3 linked regions of the Tamandua tetradactyla genome follow. The protein of the gene in region 3 purifies or fractionates together with the protein of the main gene of each other region. This does not show direct contact. Links are inferred from orthologs where the notes say so. Each region holds a gene or a part of one and is shown on either strand. Other genes may lie near its edges. The genes, in order: UBAC2, UBXN8 and TBC1D15.

Region 1 (7,706 bases), on a different chromosome or scaffold from region 3:
TCAAAACAGAGATGCATCTCCTTCCCCACCCCACTACAGGTCAAGGGAGTGGCAGATAAGAGGTTCCCAACTGTGGGAGTCTCTGAAGAACCCACTGAACGCCACATGAAAAAAAGTCAGCTTTAATTACATGCCAGGTTCAAATGCCCTACCCTTGACTTACTGCCCTGGATGCACCAGCCTTCTTTAGTATCTTGCAAACACCCTGCTATGAATGTTTCAGAGACTTTGGGCTTGCCGTTCACTCTCTTCAGAATGAAAAATTTTCAACAAATTTTGGCATGGCTAACTCCTTCACGCTGTTTGGGTATCAGCTCAAACATCACCTTCCCAGGTATTTCCCCTGACCTCACATACTAAAACAGTACTTGACTTACTGCCCTGGATGCACCAGCCTTCTTTAGTATCTTGCAAACACCCTGCTATGAATGTTTCAGAGACTTTGGGCTTGCCGTTCACTCTCTTCAGAATGAAAAATTTTCAACAAATTTTGGCATGGCTAACTCCTTCACGCTGTTTGGGTATCAGCTCAAACATCACCTTCCCAGGTATTTCCCCTGACCTCACATACTAAAACAGTACTTTACATAACCGTCTTATTTTCTTGATAACACTTGCCACTGTGTGAAATAACGTTAATTATCTGTTAATATACTTATGTTGGTCTCTTTCATCCTGTTTACCATTTTATCCTCTGTGCATGAACAGTGTGTGACTTATGAGGTTACTCATTTGTTGAATGAACGAATGAAGGAGAGAAAAAAAATCAAGTGTAACACAATGATACCAGCAGCAAATGGCAGGGATTTCTCCACTGAAAAAGAGAATGTTATTCACCATCCTTGGGAACAAGCATAGGCAGATGTTGTTATTTCCTCAGGATCAGCATTTTGACCTAACAAGGGCCACATAACTTCTTATTTAATGGAAATCATGTACCTCTCAGTAAGTAGTCTTGCCAGAAAAAAGAAAAAAATTTTTAAACAATTTTGTTTAATTTTTAAACAAAAGACCAGACCTGGGAAAAAGTGTGCCTAAACTCCACTATAAGCACGCAAGTACTGGGACAGACTTGTATAAAGCTGTTTTCTCAGAACTCAACACAGTGCCTGGTCCATAGCAGATGCCCCAAATGTTTGTTAAATGAACATATAAGACATGGTCTTCTGAGGAATGGCCATCCTATCAACTCAACCTATGAATGCACTTATTTTAAAAACAGGGTAAGACAACTGAGGAGTCCTTGCCCTAGGCCTCACCCTGGGGCAACATTTTGGTTCCTACAATTCAATATTCATCAACCCTGTGCCATAGGTAATAAAGTATTACCCTCCCCAGAGGAACCCTCTATCAAGTCTGAATGAACTTTGCCAATATAATATAACAGCATAATAACCAATAACAGATTTTCCTTGCCTTTAAAAAAAAATGTTTTATATGTATTTTAGTCAACAAGGCAGGATAGTTCAAAACACTGAAAGAACAACCAGGATTGAAGAATTCTGCTGAAAACTTCGTATTCACCAGTGTACCACTCACTCACTGTGTGATCCTAGGAAAATCACACCCCCTCCTTGACTGCCAGTTTCATTGATAGTTACAATGTCCTTCATCCAAGAGGTAGTTTTAGGGAGGTTAATTACCTCGTAGTTGAATTGTACTCTAAGGCCAATTCATGAAAGAGGCCATAATTCAAATTATGAAACAAGGAAAATCATAAACATCAAACATCAAAACCTGAGAAGTTGTGAAGTGAGGAAGATTTAAAATTAAGCCTGTAGTTCTGACACTAACTCACTCTCACACTAACATATATAGTCACAGAAATAGATTGGTGACATTCACAACAGATCTTTAATATTTGGAAATAGCAAATGCTTCTGCACTCTGGCAACATTAACTTCACGTGTACAGAGATATGAAGCACTACAATGAATCCCCAAACTATGGTTGTTCAAACAGTTAACTGATGGGTCAAGCCTAACTTCAGTGTGGTTTACTTAACACAGTGTTGTTTAGTTAACACACCTCATCAGTTTACTTAAATTTAATTTAATTTAATTTAATTTAAGTAAATTAAATACTCAATTTCGGTGAGAAACAATTATTTAAAACAATATATATCTTTCTCTGTCCTCTATCTTCTGACCACCTCTAACACTCAAAATATAGGAACGTACAACAGCAAAGTGCGATTTCTCACTAAAGCACGTGCTCACTTCCCACCACTTTAAAGTATTTTAACCAATTTTCGTTTAACTACAAACTTTTAAGGGAAACTGGGAAGGAATCAAATCTAGGTAAAACTGAGGGATCAGCTCCTGAAGCAGAGGTTGAAATCGGCTTCTGGGAAAGTCGGTCCGACTGTAGTCTAAACGAATAGAGCAAGGTGAGTGGAAAAGGGGCAGGCTTCCAGACACGCCTGCAACGGAACAGCCTCTTCTTTCGGCTTGGCACTTTCAGCGTCTGGCAACCACGCCTCAAACGGCGCGGGGCCGGGCTAGGAGAACGCGAAGTCACCCAGCCTGATCCTAACTGCCTAGCCCACCTGCAGCAGACCCCCGGGCACCAAGGCATCGCACCTGGGGCTCACAGGTGAGGGCCGAGGCTGGCGGCGGGACTTATTCCCCACTCGCCGCTTCGGGTAGAAGGGGCAGTACCCGCTGCCCCCCAGGGCAGGAACTACCGAGTTCCGGAGCCGGGATGAATGGTCGGGGGCGGAGATGGAGGATCGGCTCCCAAACCTCCTGCAAACCCGAGGGTCCTTGCTGTCCCCACTTCCCTCAAGGAGGTGCCCAGGCTGACATGTAGGAGACAGCCAGGATGGCGGCGGCCGGTACTCACAAAACCCACTCGAGCCGGTGCTGGTGAACATGGTGCCGCCGGGTCCGAAGCCCCTGCGAGGGGGCGGGGAGAAGGGGAGGGCAACCGGCGTTGAAGAGGCCCGGCGACGCGCAGGCGCACTACAGAGGAGGCGGTGAACCAGACGATTCGATTGTACTGGAGGGCCCGCCTGACGTACGGGGCATGCGCGGCTTCTGAAGCTCCCTTCCTGCCGGGGAAGGGAAGTGCGTCCACAACCGCCGGGGGTCGTCTCTCCGGGTTTTTACGACGGCCGAGGTAACCGTATGGAAAAAATGAGGTGGCCTGGGAGGAAACGAGGCTTAGCTGCGGGAACCGCGCATCTCTGCTCAGCGCCGACCCCACGCCGCTTTCAGCTGGTTCCTCTGGAATGCTGGACTAGGCATTCCTTGCGTCTTCTTTTCCAACCTCCCCAGTCGCGCAGACTCTCTGGCCTGCAGCGGACACTCGCTCGGCCGGGAACTGTGGACCACAGAACTCTCTGAGGTTCCGGCGTCAAGTCAGGGCCGACACGCTGGTCAGCCGGCCTCGCAGCGAGGAAAGGGGAGCTGGACGACCCTCCTCGCCGCAGGAACCGGGCCGTCTGGCTGTTCCCTTTCCCTTCGTCGGCCCCACCCGAGTCTCCACGATAAGCGCCGAGCATGGTGGTCCGGAACCCGGGACCGGTGTGGGGGCTGCTGGATACACCCTGTCCTGCTAACGCCGCGGACGGCCTATGGCCGGGGATCCCTGGCAGAAGTAATGTGGGAACGGGGGCGGCTCTGTTCCCCAGACTTGCATCCTGGCGTCCTCAGACGTGGGTCCTTTAATGAATTCTAAGTCATTTAATTTTTTTTTAGCTTGCAGTATGAAATTACTTTTCGTAAAACAAAGCTAAGGTTTCCTTAATATGAGTTTTAGCCTAAAACTTTTGAGTCGTTAAAAAGTTTTAAACTACATCTTATGGGAATATGAACACACTTCAAGGCTCAGTGAAAATGACAGGCTTCAAAACTCTATTTTAAAAATATGCGTATTAAAAAAAACTGAGTGCTTATAAGGGCCAATGGGTGTGCTAAATCTGATTAATAAAATACAGACCTGCCCTCAATAGATTCCAGTGAACCAGAATATTAATGTTGATTATTTCTAGAAGGCAAACATACGGTGAGTTTTATTTTATTCTTTAGGTTTTTCTTTGTAAGATTTGTTCACAATTATAAACTACATTTAATATTTTAACTTTAGGCTCATCCAGTTGATTTATTTTGCGATGCAACCATAGTTTAAACGTCTTTTCTGTTTGCAGAAATTGTTTGGTCACAAAACGTGTAGCTGACATAGGACAGTCCATGGAAGTCCCTGAGCAATCGCCCAGATCTTTTAGGGATGCAAAAGACCAAAACATCAGTTTGTGTTTTTTTATTCTTATCCACGCAGGAGTATTTGTGGAATTTTCCACTGTACAGTTGGAAAATCTGCATGACTTAGTGAACCGTTATTTTCCTGATGATCAGTGCATGATGTTACAAAAGTATGAGTGGATAAAAAATTATTCAAACTGCAAGATAAACCATTGACTTTAAACAGTACAAAATGTTCATTGATATGGCTTCAGATTCCTCACTGCAACTAGTCTTTAAGAAACTACCACTTAAGTTTTGGTATAGCATCAGTAAAGATTATCTGAAAAGGCTGCTGTTAAAATGTTCCTTTCCTTATTACTTATCTGTGGGAGGCCAGATTTACTTCATATACTTCAAGCAAACAATATATCACACAAACCAAAAACACACAAATATTGTAAATAAGAAATTAAGATATGAGGGATGCTGCCATGCCAGCGTTCTGGGTTTGTTTCCTGGTGCCTGCCCATGCAAAAAAAAAAAAAAAAGGGATGACTTTAATTGCTGAGTCATTACATAGATATTCCTTTTTTGCTTTCCAGTGTGTGGGAGTAGACAGGAAAATACCTGAAATCTTTGAATTGTAATCCAGGTGACTTGATCTCTAATAATGACTGTACAGCTTTATCTTGTGCCCTTGTGATTATGAAAACCTTGTGATTAACCTTCACTTGTACCCATTTATCCAGTTTTTTGACTTAAGAGTTTGTGATCACTAAAGACAGCCCCTAATGTTTGTTAATGAAAGTTCCTGGGTCTGCCCCGAACTAAGTCTAAAGTTAATCTTGATAACTGAGACTGATCTAACCAAAATGGGCCCACCTGATGTGCGCAGTAGCTTAGACTTTAACCTATAAGTCACCGAAATCTCATTACAATAACTAAAAATCATATCCATCATCATGTTAAGGCCGTTATTATGTATGTCCTATGACTAAGCATGTAATCAGCCTGTGCTTGCTCAATAATTAAATCACCTCTAATTACATCATCTGGAGCCATTGTGCTCATTATCCTAAAACCTGCCCATCTTTTGATGCTATAAAACTATGAGAGTTACTGCAGTTCAGGGAGATATATTTTGAATCTAATAAACTTTTTCTTTCTTTGAAACCCAGGTGTCTCAGGAGTTCATCATTTGAAGGCATTGGCAAAAGAATTCACACCTTTGTTTGATATTCCGGGGATCCAGGGGTCTTCCATCAAGCCATGCATTAAAAACATTTGTGAAATGTGACAAAATGCTATTCTTACCCCATAATATTTTGCTTGGGGAAGTACAGTAATTTTTCATTAACAGGTTATTTAATTCAGCCTGTGATGGGCATAGTGTTTTTTTTTAATGAATTTCATAAATTTTTAAGATTTTTCAGTTTTAATTTTTAGTATGGTAAATGTCAATAGATATAGCCTTTAAACAAAAGTTCTAGTTTTCAATAACTTTTAAAGAATGTAGAAGGCTCCCAAGAACAAAAAGAATGAGAACTGTTGAAGATAAAGGTTTTTTTTTAAAAAGTCTTCAGTTATGTTCAATTCTACAGTCTTTGCAACAAAATGCAATATAATTAAAATGGTATCCAGACCTTGCTTGAAAGTATTTGCAGCGATCCATAACTTGAGTGTCCCTCAACTGTATGCCCTGAGGACATGTACCTATTGATTGGTAGGAAGTTGAAGGTTTGTCTTCCAAAAAGCAAGTGTGGTCTTTGGAGGGGCAGCATGGGCCTCACTTGATATCTGGTTTGGACTATAGTGCCAGACCCATGCCAGACCTATTAAGGCAGAATATGCATTTAATAAGACAGGTCATTTGTATGCACATTAACATTTGAGTAGCACTAGTGCAGTGATTTTCATCAGGGGGTATTTTTATTCTCCAGGAAACATTTGGCATTATCTGGAGACATTTTGGGGTGTCACAACAATAACGACTTATTAGACCCAACACATCAATAGTGTGGAGATTGAGAAACTCTACACTAGCGTAATTCATCCAACTTTTATCATGAACTCCTGGTGTCTGTCATTTTTGTTGCCTGTGCCTGTATTTCCCCCTTATCTTTTCTGTGGTTTTTATTACGGAAAACTAAGTCTGTCAGTTACTAGGAATCATCTTTTTGCCTTGCTATGTAGGGAATTTGGTTTTGAATCTGCTTTCTATATTGGACAATAGTATGCTTTTAAGCCTTGGGAACTCACCATGTATGTACAGTGTAAGAAAATAAATATTCATTTGTATAGGCATTACAAAGGTGAAGCGTTGTCTCCACCAGAAAGATCCAGAAGTAGTCAAAAGTAATCTGATTCATCTTGAGATACTTGCACTGCTACCTATGTGCTTTAGGAACATCATAGAATGGATGGAGCTACAATTCCTTCAGCCTGATAAACTCTTCCCAAAAAATCAGCTCAAATAATATCTCTCCCAGACCCTAACAGGCAGAAGTACTTATTCCCTATTCTGTGCTCCCATCATAGTTTATGCACACCTATGTTATATTTATCCCACTGTCTCAATTATTATGTTTCCGACTTCTAGAAAAGGGTGAGCCATTAAAAGGCAGGGAATGTCTTATAAAATGTTGTATCCTACTTATTTCAGTCTCTTTTAATGAGAAGGCATTGTATTCTTTCAATAAAATAAAACACATCTCTGAGTTTTAGCATCAGAAAGAAAATCTCCAGATGGATCACAAAGGAGGATTGGTTTCTCCCCTAGCCAGTGTTTCACGGTCCCACCACATGTCTGTAGGTTAAAAGCCTGTTGGAAATGATGAATAGGAGTTTGTCTTATCCTGTATAGGGAAATGGGATGGCATTCCAAAGAAAATTCTTTTAAAACATTGAATTTATTCTTTAATACTAACATATAATTTTTGTTTCAATAAATGAAAATTTAAATAGTGTTAAAAATATTATGAAATCGCTTGACATATACTTCACATATATCAAAAATGCTAACTGAAGTGCTTAAACTATAAGCAAATGAGATCGATATTATTAAGGAGAAAGAAATTATGGAAATTTTCAATAAACTTTCATCATTTTAACAGACGCCCAGAATTTTCAGTCTGTAGCAGTTGAATAAGGATAGGTCTAAGGATACTGATTTAGAAAGAAATGGCTGATTTTCATGCTTTAAAATATTCTTATGTAAAGATTAGTATGAATTACTAATATCAGATTTGTTAACTTACCCAGTTGAAAAGGATGCAGCATATTAATAAGCCAATATTTGCAGGAAAAGTTAATGGTGCTAAAAAAAATGGGGCATAAAATAATTATTTAATCTTTTTACAAAAAGTTTTAGTTTGAGCTAAAACTTGCATTCCTTTAAAATGGAAGTGAAGTTATTTATTACAAGCATTTCCAACTGCATGTTTAGGTGAAAGGGTTTCAATATAATGGAACAATATAACAAAGAAGATTTGAGATTCTTTTTAACTTGAATTATTTCAT
Region 2 (7,191 bases), on a different chromosome or scaffold from region 3:
ATGAGGACCGCTACACTTGTCACCCCCCCCGGGGCCCACTCGGGTCCGCCTCACTCATGCTACTCATTCTCCTAACCCCCATTGAGGGTGCATCCTATGTATGGAAGTTCAAAATCAGGGAAATCTTTAGCCAAAATGATAGATTGACCACTCATATGATTGGCACAGGAGATTGCCCTCTAACAGGTTGTAGTCAGCCTATAACCATCCCCATAAATCCTAAATCAGTTGAAAAGGGCCCAAGGCCATATGCCTGCTTTCCATATGCCCAAACTGAAAGCTATTGTAACCAAAACAACTATGACAATATATATGGGGGAATGCCCCTATTGGTCATGCAGAATACATGATGCTTATGTGGAGGCAGCTCATAAAGGTACCTTCTACATTAGCTCCCAGCAATCTTACATAAATACTGCAGATCCCTGGGACACAAGATGGGTAGCAGGAATCCAAGGCAAGCTATACTACAGTGGCTGGTCCCAATACCCTGTAAGCACCACTGAAAACACCACAAATATATCCTCATTAATACTACTTTTACCCGGATATCCACGGACATTTTGCAGGCTGAGCAAAGCCTCTCCAGCCACCTTGCCCAAAGTTCCACTGCCCCGGGACCAGGCTTCCTGGTAACTATTGTTCCTCAATTGACCCTCTATGGGGAGTCCAAACTAACCTGGCTACTGCCCTCTCCTCGCTCAAAAAGGGCTTCCTTTCTTCCTATCCTAGTAGGTGTCAGCCTAACCGCTTCAGTTACAGCCTCAGCCACAGCAGGAAGGGTGCTGGGACACAATATTTTGACCTCTCAAAACTTCGAAACTCGACTACAGGTAGCCCTGGAATCAACATCAGAATCCCTCTCCTCTCTACAACACCAACTCACCTCACTAGCCCAGGTAACTCTTCAAAATCGATGGGCCTTAGACCTGCTGACAGCCGAAAAAGGAGGAACGTGTATATTCCTACAAGAGGAATGCTGCTATTACATCAACGAGTCGGGTCAGGTGGAACAAAATATTCAGACCCTAAACAAACTAAGAGAGGATCCCTATCACAGAAAACAAGGAACCAACTCTGCCTTAAGCTGGTTTTCCTCTCCCCTGGCAACATGGCTCCTCCCACTACTAGGACCAGTTATCCTAATCTGTCTCTTTTTCCTCCTAGTTTCCTGCCTCCTCAACTTCCTTCAGGGACGCAGGAAGGAACTAGCCCAGGTAGCAGTCAACCAGAGGCTCCTGCATCATTATCATCACCTGCCTTCCTCACCAGATTCCTATAGCCAGCCTCCCCACTCCCCTGACCATGACGGTTCCGGCCTATAACCCCACGCCGCCCCATTATAGCAGGAAGTAGCCAGAAAGATCTCGGCGCCCTATTATCACAAAAAGGCTGGAATGTTAGGTCGGGGGAATGGGGAAAGGTACTGCAGCTGGAGCTGCAGAGGCTGTGTCACCCTTCCCAACCTGACTTCCGGAACTAATGAACGGCCCCTTCCGGATGTTACCTGACCCCCATCCTTAAAAGCTGCCCGCACTGAAGCCCACGTGCGGACTCACCTCTCTCCATCTTGGATGCAGTGAGCTCTACCCAGGAGCGCAGAAATAAACTCGCTCACTTTAAATTTCCTGGTCTATTTTCTTCTTTTTCACCCTTTTGCCTCCTAAACCTTTCACTAAGTATATACCATGCTGAGATAGGCTTAGAATAACAATTACAACAGCACCTTTAAACAGGGCTGAGACTAAGCTACAATAACCATTACAAACGTAAGCATAAACAGGGCTGAGACTAGTTGAGTTTCACTAATTTCAGGTATTAACTTCTGCCTACAATATAGAAAGAAAAACAACTATATAATGATTCAGTAATCATAATCCTTTAATCTTCAATTTCCTTGTCACAATATTCCTTCAGTATTTCTGTTTCCCCTACCAATGGCACTTCCTACTACCTACAGTTGTTTAACGCCCTACTACCTAGACCTGTTTAACCCCCATATGTGGGAGTCAATCTTGAATCCTTTCCTCTCACCTCGAAGGTCAATCCATCAACAAGATCTCTTGATTCTACTTCCTCAATAATCCCAAATCTGTCCAGATTTCATTTCCTCTGTTAATCCAGGCTATCATTCCTACTTGCCTACTTCAGAAGCCTAAAGCACCTAACTGCTTCCACTACAGCCTTCCAAAATTTTGTCCGCACAGAATCCAGAATGATCTTTTAAAAACCTCAGGAAAGACTCTTCTCCATGTATCTAGTACCTAGCTGAAAAATGGGAATTAGAATAAGCACCCACCTCCCAAGATTGCAGTGAAGAGTAAATGAGATAAAAAGCACTTGGTTTATAATCGGGACTCAAACATTATCATCCTGAGCCAGACTCCCCTTTACCTTCATTGCTCCAGCCTGAAAGGCCTTCACCCCTTTCCTCCAACATGTCACAATTCCTTATGACTGGAATGTTCTCCCCTTGGCTTTTCACAAGGGTGGCTCCTTATCATCCTGCAAATCTCAGCTAAAATCCCTCAGAAAGCCTTCATCCTCTCATTATGCTTCTTCCCGTGGGGGCGTTCAGATCAATTTGAAAGTATTGTTGGTTCCTGCGCTTTTTCCTTCAGTCCCTCTAAGGTCAAAACTTCGCCAGCGCTGGTAACACGGACCCCAGGATCCCAGCGACCTAGCGTAAGCAATCCATTAAGAACAGAGCTAATACCGGAGGGAAACTTTTCACGAGCAACGAAGGAAAGAACCCACCCACACCCACAGTCCCCACCCCTACACAACTCCCGAGACTCGCTCCCAAAGGGGACGCCCGCCGGGCCAGCGCCGGAAGAGGGGCAGACGCGGTGCAGGCTGGGAATCGTAGTCAAAGCCGCCCAGAGGCAACGCGGCCGTCCACGCGGAAATTATACGCTACACTTACGCCAAAGAGCCAGGTGGGAAGTCAGGGGGTGCAAAAGTCAATGCTTACCTAGATCCGGGATCCCACGTCGGAGTTCCAGACACAAGAGAGGGAGAGCAGAGAGAAAGAAAATACCGACAACCCCTCTAGAAGCCATTGTGGCGGGAGCTCCGCGTCAGGGCGAAGGCCCGCCCCTTCCCGTCGCGCCGTCGTCCGGAGGGCGGGAGGTCCGGGGTGGAGGGATAGGACTTCTTCCCAAGCGAGGAATTTTGGAAAAGGCCTTAAAACGGGCTCTTGGGTGGGTCTGAGATAAGCCTCCCTGGTTTTTTGTTTTTTGTTTTTTTTTAATTAAAAAAAATTAATAAAACATTTAGAAATCATTCCATTCTACGTGTACAATCAGTAATTCTTAATATCATCACATAGTTGCATATTCATCATTTCTTAGTACAGTTGGATCGATTTAGAAAAAGAAATAAAAAGACAACAGGATAAGAATTAAAATGATAATAGAGAGGAAAAAAAACCTTTACCTCACATGCAGCTTCATTCAATGTTTTAACATAATTGCATTACAATTAGGTAGTGTGCTGTCCATTTCTGAGTTTTTATATCCAGTCCTGTTGCACAGTCTGTATCCCTTCAGCTCCAATTACCCCTTCTCTTTTTTTTTGTTTAATTAACAGAAAAAATGAAATTAACCCAACATTTAGAAATCATACCATTCTACATTTGCAATCAGTACTTCTTAACATCATCACATAGATGCATGATCATCGTTTCTTAGTACATTTGCATCGGTTTAGAAGAACTAGCAACACAACCGAAAAAGATATAGAATGTTAATATAGAGAAAAAAATAAAAGTAATAATAGTAAAAACAAAACAAAACAAAACAAAAACCTATAGCTCAGACGCAGCTTCATTCAGTGTTTTAACATGATTACTTTACAATTAGGTATTATTGTGCTGTCCATTTTTGAGTTTTTGTATCTAGTCCTGTTGCACAGTCTGTATCCCTTCAGCTCCAATTGCCCATCATCTTACCCTGTTTCTACCTCCTGCTGGACTCTGTTACCAAAGACATATTCCAAATTTATTCTCGAATGTCCGTTCACATCAGTGGGACCATACAGTATTTGTCCTTTAGTTTTTGGCCAGACTCACTCAGCATAATGTTCTCTAGGTCCATCCGTGTTATTACATGCTTCATAAGTTTATCCTGTCTTAAAGCTGCATAGTATTCCATCGTATGTATATACCACAGTTTGTTTAGCCACTCTTCTGTTGATGGAGATTTTGGCTGTTTCCATCTCTTTGCAATTGTAAATAACGCTGCTATAAACATTGGTGTGCAAATGTCCGTTTGTGTCTTTGCCCTTAAGTCCTTTGAGTAGATTCCCAGCAATGGTATTGCTGGGTCGTATGGCAATTCTATATTCAGCTTTTTGAGGAACTGCCAATCTGCCTTCCACAGTGGTTGCACCATTTGACATTCCCACCAACAGTGGATAAGTGTGCCTCTTTCTCCACATCCTCTCCAGCACTTGTCATTTTCTGTTTTGTTGATAATGGCCATTCTGGTGGGTGTGAGATGATATCTCACTGTGGTTTTGATTTGCATTTCTCTAATGGCCAGGGACATTGAGCATCTCTTCAAGTGCCTTTTGGCCATTTGTATTTCCTCTTCTGGTAGGTGTCTGTTCAAGTCTTTTTCCCATTTTGTAATTGGGTTGGCTGTCTTTTTGTTGTTGAGTTGAACAATCTCTTTATAAATTCTGGATACTAGACCTTTATCTGATATGTCATTTCCAAATATTGTCTCCCATTGTGTAGGCTGTCTTTCTACTTTCTTGATGAAGTTCTTTGATGCACAAAAGTGTTTAATTTTGAGGAGCTCCCATTTATTTATTTCCTTCTTCAGTGCTCTTGCTTTAGGTTTAAGGTCCATAAAACCGCCTCCAGTTGTAAGATTCATAAGATATCTCCCTACATTTTCCTCTAACTGTTTTATGGTCTTAGACCTAATGTTTAGATCCTTGATCCATTTTGAGTTAACTTTTGTATAGGGTGTGAGACATGGGTCTTCTTTCATTCTTTTGCATATGGATATCCAGTTCTCTAGGCACCATTTATTGAAGAGACTGCTCTGTCCCAGGTGAGTTGGCTTGACTGCCTTATCAAAGATCAAATGTCCATAGATGAGAGGGTCTATATCTGAGCACTCTATTCGATTCCATTGGTCGATATATCTATCTTTATGCCAATACCATGCTGTTTTGACCACTGTGGCTTCATAATATGCCTTAAAGTCAGGCAGCGCGAGACCTCCAGCTTCGTTTTTTTTCCTCAAGATGTTTTTAGCAATTCGGGGCACCCTGCCCTTCCAGATAAATTTGCTTATTGGTTTTTCTATTTCTGAAAAATAAGTTGTTGGGATTTTGATTGGTATTGCATTGAATCTGTAAATCAATTTAGGTAGGATTGACATCTTAACTATATTTAGTCTTCCAATCCATCAACACGGTATGCCCTTCCATCTATTTAGGTCTTCTGTGATTTCTTTTAGCAGTTTTTTGTAGTTTTCTTTATATAGGTTTTTTGTCTCTTTAGTTAAATTTATTCCTAAGTATTTTATTCTTTTAGTTGCAATTGTAAATGGGATTCGTTTCTTGATTTCCCCCTCCGCTTGTTCATTGCTAGTGTATAGAAATGCTACAGATTTTTGAATGTTGATCTTGTAACCTGCTACTTTGCTGTACTCATTTATTAGCTCTAGTAGTTTTGTTGTGGATTTATCCGGGTTTTCGACATATAGTACCATATCGTCTGCAAACAGTGATAGTTTTACCTCTTCCTTTCCTATTTTGATGCCTTGTATTTCTTTTTCTTGTCTAATTGCTCTGGCTAGAACCTCCAACACAATGTTGAATAATAGTGGTGAGGGTGGACATCCTTGTCTTGTTCCTGATTTAGGGGAAAGTTTTCAATTTTTCCCCATTGAGGATGATATTAGCTGTGGGTTTTTCATATATTCCCTCTATCATTTTAAGGAAGTTCCCTTGTATTCCTCTCTTTTGAAGTGTTTTCAACAGGAAAGGATGTTGAATCTTGTCAAATGCCTTCTCTGCATCAATTGAGATGATCATGTGATTTTTCTGCTTTGATTTGTTGATATGGTATATTACATTAATTGATTTTCTTATGTTGAACCATCCTTGCATACCTGGGATGAATCCTACTTGGTCATGATGTATAATTCTTTTAATGTGTTGTTGGATATGATTTTCTAGAATTTTGTTGAGGAATTTTGCATCTATATTCATTAGAGAGATTGGCCTGTAGTTTTCTTTTTTTGTAATATCTTTGCCTGGTTTTGGTATAAGGGTGATGTTGGCTTCATAGAATGAATTAGGTAGTTTTCCCTCCGCTTCGATTTTTTTGAAGAGTTTGAGGAGAGTTGGTACTAATTCTTTCTGGAATGTTTGATAGAATTCAGATGTGAAGCCGTCTGGTCCTGGACTTTTCTTTTTAGGAAACTTTTGAATGACTGATTCAATTTCTTTATTTGTGATTGGTTTGTTGAGATCATCTATGTCTTCTTGAGTCAAAGTTGGTTGTTCATGTCTTTCCAGGAACCCGTCCATTTCCTCTAAATTGTCGTATTTATTAGCGTAAAGTTGTTCATAGTATCCTGTTATTACCTCCTTTATTTCTGTGAGGTCAGTAGTTATGTCTCCTCTTCCATTTCTGATCTTATTTATTTGCATCCTCTCTCTTCTTCTTTTTGTCAATCTTGCTAAGGGCCCATCAATCTTATTGATTTTCTCTTAGAACCAACTTCTGGCCTTATTGATTTTCTCTATTGTTTTCATGTTTTCAATTTCATTTATTTGTGCTCTAATCTTTGTTATTTCTTTCCTTTTGCTTGCTTTGGGATTAGTTTGCTGTTCTTTCTCCAGTTCTTCCAAATGGATAGTTAATTCCTGCATTTTTGCCTTTTCTTCTTTTCTGATATAGGCATTTAGGGCAATAAATTTCCCTCTTAGCACTGCCTTTGCTGCATCCCATAAGTTTTTATATGTTGTGTTTTCATTTTCATTCGCCTCGAGGTATTTGCTTATTTCTCTTGCAATTTCTTCTTTGACCCACTCGTTTAGGAGTGTGTTGTTGAGCCACCATGTATTTGTGAATTTTCTGGCACTCCGCCTATTATTGATTTCCAACTTCATTCCTTTATGATCCAAGAAAGTGTTGTGTATGATTTCAATCTTTTTAAATTTGTT
Region 3 (7,279 bases):
AAATGGATCAAAGATCTAAACATTAGGTCTAAGACCATAAAACAGTTAGAGGAAAATGTAGGGAGATATCTTATGAATCTTACAATTGGAGGCGTTTTATGGACCTTAAACCTAAAGCAAAAGCACTGAAAAAGGAAATAAATAAATGGGAGCTCCTCAAAATTAAACACTTTCGTGCATCAAAGAACTTCATCAAGAAAGTAGAAAGACAGCCTACACAATGGGAGATAATATTTGGAAACGACATATCAGATAAAGGTCTAGTATCCAGAATTTATAATGAGATTGTTCAACTCAACAACAAAAAGACAGCCAACCCAATTACAAAATGGGAAAAAGTCTTGAACAGACACCTACCAGAAGAGGAAATATGGATGGCCAAGAGGCACATGAAGAAATGCTCAATGTCCCTGGCCATTAGAGAAATGCAAATCAAAACCACAATGAGATATCATCTCACACCCACCAGAATGGTCATTATCAACAAAACAGAAAATGACAAGTGCTGGAGAGGATGCGGAGAAAGAGGCACACTTATCCACTGTTGGTGGGAATGTCAAAGGGTGCAACCACTGTGGAAGGCACTTTGGCGGTTCCTCAAAAAGCTGAATATAGAATTGCCATATGACCCAGCAATACCATTGCTAGGTATCTACTCAAAGGACTTAAGGGCAAAGACACAAACGGACATTTGCACACCAACGTTTATAGCAGCGTTACTTACAATTGCAAAGAGATGGAAACAGCCAAAATGTCCATCAACAGAAGAATGGCTAAACAAACTGTGGTATATACATACGATGGAATATTATGCAGCTTTAAGACAAGATAAACTTATGAAGCATGTAATAACATGGATGGACCTAGAGAACATTATGCTGAGTGAGTCCAGCCAAAAACTAAAGGACAAATACTGTATGGTCCCACTGATGTGAACGGACATTCGAGAATAAACTTGGAATATGTCATTGGTAAGAGAGTCCAGCAGGAGGTAGAAACAGGATAAGATAATGGGTAATTGGAGCTGAAGGGATACAGACTGTGCAACAGGATCAGATACAAAAACTCAAAAATGGACAGCACAATAATACCTAAGTGTAAAGTAATCATGCTAAAACACTGAATGAAGCTGCATCTGAGCTACAGGGTTTTTTTGTTTTGTTTTCTTTTTTTTACTATTATTATTACTTTTATTTCTTTTCTCTATATTAACATTCTATATCTTTTTCTGTTGTGTTGCTAGTTCCTCTAAACCGATGCAAATGTACTAAGAAACGATGATCATGCATCTATGTGATGATGTTAAGAATTACTGATCGCATATGTAGAATGGTATGATTTCTAAATGTTATGTTAATTTCTTTTTTTTTCCGTTAATAAAAAAAAAAACAACTCTGCTTCATCATCTCAAGGATTTTCAAAACTAATTCACTCTTATAAGAAAGGGGAGGTGTCCTTCAAATGGAAAGGATCCCCTCTGGATCATTTCAGATTGAAAATCAAGCACGATAGCTTTCAAATATGTTGTGAGCAAGGAGAAGATCAACATTCACCCTAAATATAAAACTAACAGGAAACCAAGGGATGTGAATATCCAAAAAAGGATGATCAACCTATAATTCCATCTATAATTTAAAGTACGTAGGATGTAGAAGTAAGGAACCTTTTTAAAAAGCCTTTTTACATTTCATGTAAACCTAACAAGTACAAGAAAGACTGGACTCTTTCTGCAAAAAGAATAAGCAAACAAAGGCATAACTGCCCAATTTCCCAAGGCCACACTTCAGATTAGTAACAAAACCAGGTCCATACCACCATATCTGTTGTTCTGTCGCTTTGCCTACTAGTCCAGACACCAAACCACAAACACTATCAGATAATTTAGTGAGGCTGGGAAGGGGGGATGAGGAGGGAGATGTGTAGGAAAAATATTATTGAAACTAAAGGAAGAGGGGAAGCTATCTGCAAAGGTAAATAAACCTTAGTGTTCGATGAGTCATCACTTGTTCCAGCTGTTTACCAAATACTCCTGCACTGGGAAATGCCAATGTCAGGAAGCTGACTGCCCTGAAAAATAGGCATAAGATGTGCCCTAGGAATGTGAACAAACACTATACAGTAAGATATCCTCCACACCCTAATTAACAAGGGGTAGGTTCACTGATCGCCTCTGTAATCAGTGGCACCGCAGACACCACCTCCGCAACATCACGAAGCTGTCTATCTAGGAAATACCAAGAACAAGCAGCACCTTACTAGACCAGCAAAGGATGGAGGAAATCTCCAGCTCTGGAGTAGAAACATGCCCTGCTGCTCACAACTACTAACCAACTCAGCTGTCTGATAAGATGGGTACAATGACCATTTTTCTCCTAAGCATACAACTGCACAGCACCTATTCAGTTCCTCGCGAAGGAGGAGATGCCTTCAGTAGAATGCAGCAAATGAAGGCAGCGGCAAGTCAGATTAATGCCTCAAATAAAGAGAAAAAAAGACGCTGGGGTGAGAAAAGTAGACACAAGGAACTAGAGTCAGGAAAAAGCGTGCAAGAAAAAAAGGAAATGCTATTCTTTAATGTTAAGAATAAAATGTTATTAATTTTCTATCTCTTAGAAAAAGCAAGACGAATAAAAGCCCTCCAGTACTGGGGCACAGCAGAGCAGAAGAGCATCGAGGCCTAGGTGGCCTCGGAGCAAGAGCCCGGCTTCTAATTCCCGGGCTGAGGCGGCATTCTGGGGAAAACAGCTGACACCACCCAGTCTTCCTTTCTTACATCTACCATGGACTGTCCCCACTGCAGAAAGACCCTCGCGTTCTTCCGCGGCGCGTCCCCAGGCGATAAAGACACAGCTCAAGAGAAAAACAGGAGTGTTCCGCGGAGCCGTTACTTACCTTCCCGCTCGCAACACCCGCTACCGCCATGTTTCCCGAGCGTGCCTGTGATGACGTAGCAAGGCCTCACGTGTCTCTCGAACTCACAACAACATCCGGCGAAACTCAGAGGGCATCCGGCCTGGAAAGCGGTAGGGAGGAACTGAAGAGGCGCGGAGGAGCGGTCTGACGCATGCGTGCTGAATAGGGCTCGGCGGTCGCTCGGGTGGAGTCTTTGGCTGAGAACTGCGCATGTGCTAAATTAATTTTTCTGGTTATGAACCATAGTTGAATGTCTTTGAATCGAGGTTTTCCCGGAGGCGAGACACAGACGGTTTAGGCGGCTACTTCACTTTGGAATGGTGGAAAGAACGGCATATTGGGAGCCAGCAAGCGTGGTTCTGTCTTTATGGCCGTAGGCAACTCACATCCTCTAAACGTCACTTTCTTCCTGTGTGAAATTGAGATGGTAGGGTTGTGGTGAAGGTTAAAGGAACCACAGCGCTCTGTTCGAGAGACACACACTGAGACTTTTCTCTAAATTTGAACCTGGTTACTGCCGCTCAGTCAATACCGTGAACAAGGTATTTTGATAAAAGCAGCAATAATACCACGCCCTCACTGCTCCAGACTCCAGAACACATTGCTCATTGCCCCTACAGAGTTGCTTAATAGCTGTGTGACTTTAAACAGGTTTCTCAATTCATTCAAGCCTTAGGATGTAAAATGAGAGTGACCCATGAAGTGGTTGATCACATGGGACAGAGCATGTGTGGTAAGATGACTTGTTGAGATATTGAGATGTTAATTTGTTCTCCGTGCTGTAAACGAATCCGAGAGAATGAGTGGATACAATTCTTGATAGCTCCGGGCCAAGGTCGAGAATTTCTATAGAAACTTCCCTAGATTTTGGACAGAATTTAGGCTCCTTTTCACCAAAAACACCTGTGCCCCCCTGAGGTGCTTCTGTTTTATCTTTACAGAGTAGAGAGGTATTAGAGGCTCTTGACCTTGATTGAGGTAATTGGCAACCAAAGGGAACCACAGAAATGGAGGGTTGCAGGTTCTGTGAATATCAGAAGCTTAATGGCTGAGGGAGGCGTCAGGAATTTAGATGAGAATGGATATGTGGTGGGGTCTTCAGATCAACTGCAATAGCATCACCTGGGAGCTTGTTAGAAATAGACTATCCGGGCCCACCCCAGGCCTATTGAATTAAAATCTTCAGTGTAACAACATCCCCAGGTGATTTGGATGCACATTTAAGTTTGAGAAATACAGTCTTAAGTGAAACTTGAATTTTATTTTTATTCCCTGAAAATTATTACCCTTTATTGAACTAAAGACAGTTATGGAAAGGTGTTGCTGCTATGTTTCCCCTTTCAGAGATGTTCTGTGGAAAACTGATGGGACAGCATCTCCATAACTCCTCTCTTTACTGTCCTCACTGCTACTCACATGGTTCAGTTTCCTCATTACCTGTGATTTGGACAACTGCAGTGGCATCCTAATTCAATCCTTTGCTTTTTGCTTCATCTTCCCCTGAATCCATCAAACACAGTCCTGCCAGAGAGATCTTTCTAAAGCATAAATGTGATCATGTGAATTCTCCGCTTAAAGTCCTTTAATGTTCCCACCTCTTGAGGAAAAAAAGTCGAAATTTCCCATCATAGAGCACAAAATCCTTCATAAACTCTGCCTTCCATTTCAGCCTTATCTCCAATAACTTTCCCTTTCAGACCCAGTTCTCCAAACATAGCCAAATATCTTCTGTTTCCTGTATGTGCCAGGCTGTGTCTCAAGACAACTACTGACCATAGGAGATTTTTACTTGGATTGTGGGGAAGGTCCTGGGCCGATCACTGTGGCACACCCAGGTTTGAATCATATGCCTTCCGCCCCACTCCACGTGGCAGGGTAATTTGCCAGAGAAAAATCCAGGTACTATTCCAGAAAAAAAAGCAGAGTGGCTGCTGGGCAAACAAAAAGACATCAATCACAGAGATTCCGTTATACTATCCCATAGCACCCTATGCTCTTATCACACTGTGAAAGATTTGGTGGTTTTCTGAATTGCCTTTACTACTAGGCTGTGAACTATTGGAAGGAGGAACTACACTCTCCATCTCTGACATTACACCTGGCACCAATGCCTGACACACAATAAACACAAAATGAATGTTTGTTGAATACATTTATTTGAATCACTGACCCATTTAGGAAAGGCATATTTCCTAACGTAACAGTTCCACTGAAGAGGAGAGAGATCTATTTTCCTTCTTAAACAATATCCTCTCTATATAAGCAAATGGAGGAAACAAGATATTTTCGTTTCCGAGGCTGCTGAAAGCAGATACCATGCTTAACAATGGGAATTTATTAGTTTACAGTTTTGAGGCTGAGAAAAATTTCCAAATCAGGGCATCATCAAGGTGTTGCTTTCTTCCCTGACTGACTGCCAATAAGCCTTGATTTGTCTGCCATATGGCAGGCACATGGCTGCATCTGCTGGTCTCTCCCTTCTGTTTCAGGTTTTGTTGCTTTCAGCTTTTTGCCTCCATGGTTTTCTGTTTCTGCATTTCATCCTCTCATAAAGGACTCCAGGAAGGAGATTAAGGCTCATTCTAGGCCATCCCTTAAATGAAGTAACCTCCTTAAAAGGCCCTACTTACAATGGGTTTATACCCACAGGAATTGATTGTCTTTAAGAACATGATTTTCTGGGTTACATACAGTTCCAAACCACTATACAAAGTCAGGATGTTTTTCTTAATTTGCCAGAAGCAATCACAAATATGAAATGAATTGGCTTAAATTAAACAATAGGAATTTATTGGCCCATGGTTTTGAGGCTAAGAAAAGTCCAAAATCAAGATGTTCAGCAAGGCAATGCTTTCTCCCTGAAGTCTGGTGGTATTCTGGGGCTGGCTGACAGTGATCCATGGGCCCGTGACTTTTCTATCACATAGAGTATAAATGGTTGTGTGTTCTTTTTCTTCCAGATTCTGCTGGCTTGCAGCTTCTCCCTCTCCCGGGAAGCTCTTTCCTTGTGGTCTTCTCTATAAGGCCTTCAGTATAATAGGATTAATACTGTTTTGATTTGCTAATGCTGCCGTATATCTTAAATGGGTTGCCTTTTATAAAGGGGATTTTTTAGGTTAAAATGTACAGTTCTAAGGCCATGAAAATGTCCAAATTAAGGCATCAACAAGACGATACTTTCACTCAAGAAAGGCTGCTCGCTTCTGGAGTTTCTTTGTCACATGGGAAGGCACATGGTGACATCTGCTGGCCCTTTGCTCCCAGATTTTGTTGCTTTCAGTTCCTGGTTCCAGTGGCCTCCTCTCTGAGCTTCTGTATGTCCCCAAGCATCTGAACTTTTTGCTCTCTGTGTCAGCTCTCCAAGCATCTGCATTTGGCATCTGTTCTCTGTGTCAGCTCTGAGCTCTTTCTCTCTCTCGGAGGTTTTTTTTTTGTATGCTCTATGGCAGCTTTCATTCTTTTTCCATGTGAGTATCCCATTATTGCAGCACCATTTGTTGAATTTTTGTTTGTTTGTTTTGGGGCAGTGTATGGGCTGGGAATTGAACCCAAGCAAGAATTCTACTGCTGAATTACCCTTGCACCCCCTCAGGAACTCTTTTAAGGACTCCAATAAACTAATTAAGACCCATCATGAATGGGTGGGTTGCATCTCCATGGAAACAACCTAATCAAAAGGTCTGTCCCCACAAGATTGAATTAGAATTAAAAGAATTTGACTTTTTTGCGGTCCGTAATAGTTTCAAACCAGCACAAACACTCATCCTGATTCAGTTGGCCATACCTTAACTCAAAATAACATTTTCAAAAGGTTCTATTTACAATGGGTTCACACCCACAGGAATGGATTAAGATTAAGAACATGGTTTTCTGGGGTACATGGTTCAACCTACCACAACTTCAAAGTGTTTTGTTTCAGATTTCAGTTTTTTTACTATATTGGTGGGGGGGAAATCAGAATACACTTACGTATAGCAAGAAGACATATTTTGGTCTTTTTCTTTCCTTAAACAGCATGCATATAAAATGTAACGTAAATGAAGTTATGCTATAACTTAAAATAATTAATGTTGTCATAGAATCAAGTAATTTCATAATTCCTAGGTTCACTCACCAAAACTGTATAGTCATTCACTAATTATAATTTATCACTTGAAAGTCATATGATGCAAAAGAATCTTAATAATAAATGCCTTAAAGAAACTCTAGACCTAGGGGAGACTTCTTTAGTGATAGTCTCTAGTAACTTTTTCAATTGAGAAAGTTGAACCTCTTAGAGATTAATGACTTGCCATGGTTATGAACAACTTTATTCATAAAATAAAGGCTGAACAGAGACTTAGTCAGCTGTGCTACACTATCAGTT

The links.
Region 1: the proteins of TBC1D15 (region 3) and UBAC2 purify together in Homo sapiens (affinity purification with mass spectrometry; 3 studies listed by BioGRID and IntAct, counting the BioPlex papers as one, with this or other methods). This does not show direct contact. The link is inferred for Tamandua tetradactyla from reciprocal best matches to the Homo sapiens genes TBC1D15 and UBAC2.
Region 2: the proteins of TBC1D15 (region 3) and UBXN8 purify together in Homo sapiens (affinity purification with mass spectrometry; 3 studies listed by BioGRID and IntAct, counting the BioPlex papers as one, with this or other methods). This does not show direct contact. The link is inferred for Tamandua tetradactyla from reciprocal best matches to the Homo sapiens genes TBC1D15 and UBXN8.

The regions. Positions count from the first base shown.
Region 1 is NC_135330.1:168,146,492-168,154,197, reverse strand, and holds the start of UBAC2 (ubiquitin-associated domain-containing protein 2), read right to left. Parts: upstream 3,070-7,706; 5' UTR 2,876-3,069; coding exon 2,845-2,875; exon of another isoform or gene 2,402-2,844; intron 1-2,401. UniProt on the Homo sapiens protein: Restricts trafficking of FAF2 from the endoplasmic reticulum to lipid droplets.
Region 2 is NC_135352.1:12,814,418-12,821,608, forward strand, and holds the start of UBXN8 (UBX domain-containing protein 8), read right to left. Parts: upstream 3,092-7,191; 5' UTR 3,063-3,091; coding exon 2,975-3,062; intron 2,789-2,974; exon of another isoform or gene 2,441-2,788; coding exon of another isoform or gene 2,395-2,440; intron 1-2,394. UniProt on the Homo sapiens protein: Involved in endoplasmic reticulum-associated degradation (ERAD) for misfolded lumenal proteins, possibly by tethering VCP to the endoplasmic reticulum membrane. May play a role in reproduction.
Region 3 is NC_135333.1:140,430,180-140,437,458, reverse strand, and holds the start of TBC1D15 (TBC1 domain family member 15), read right to left. Parts: upstream 3,026-7,279; 5' UTR 2,923-3,025; coding exon 2,893-2,922; intron 1-2,892. UniProt on the Homo sapiens protein: Acts as a GTPase activating protein for RAB7A. Does not act on RAB4, RAB5 or RAB6.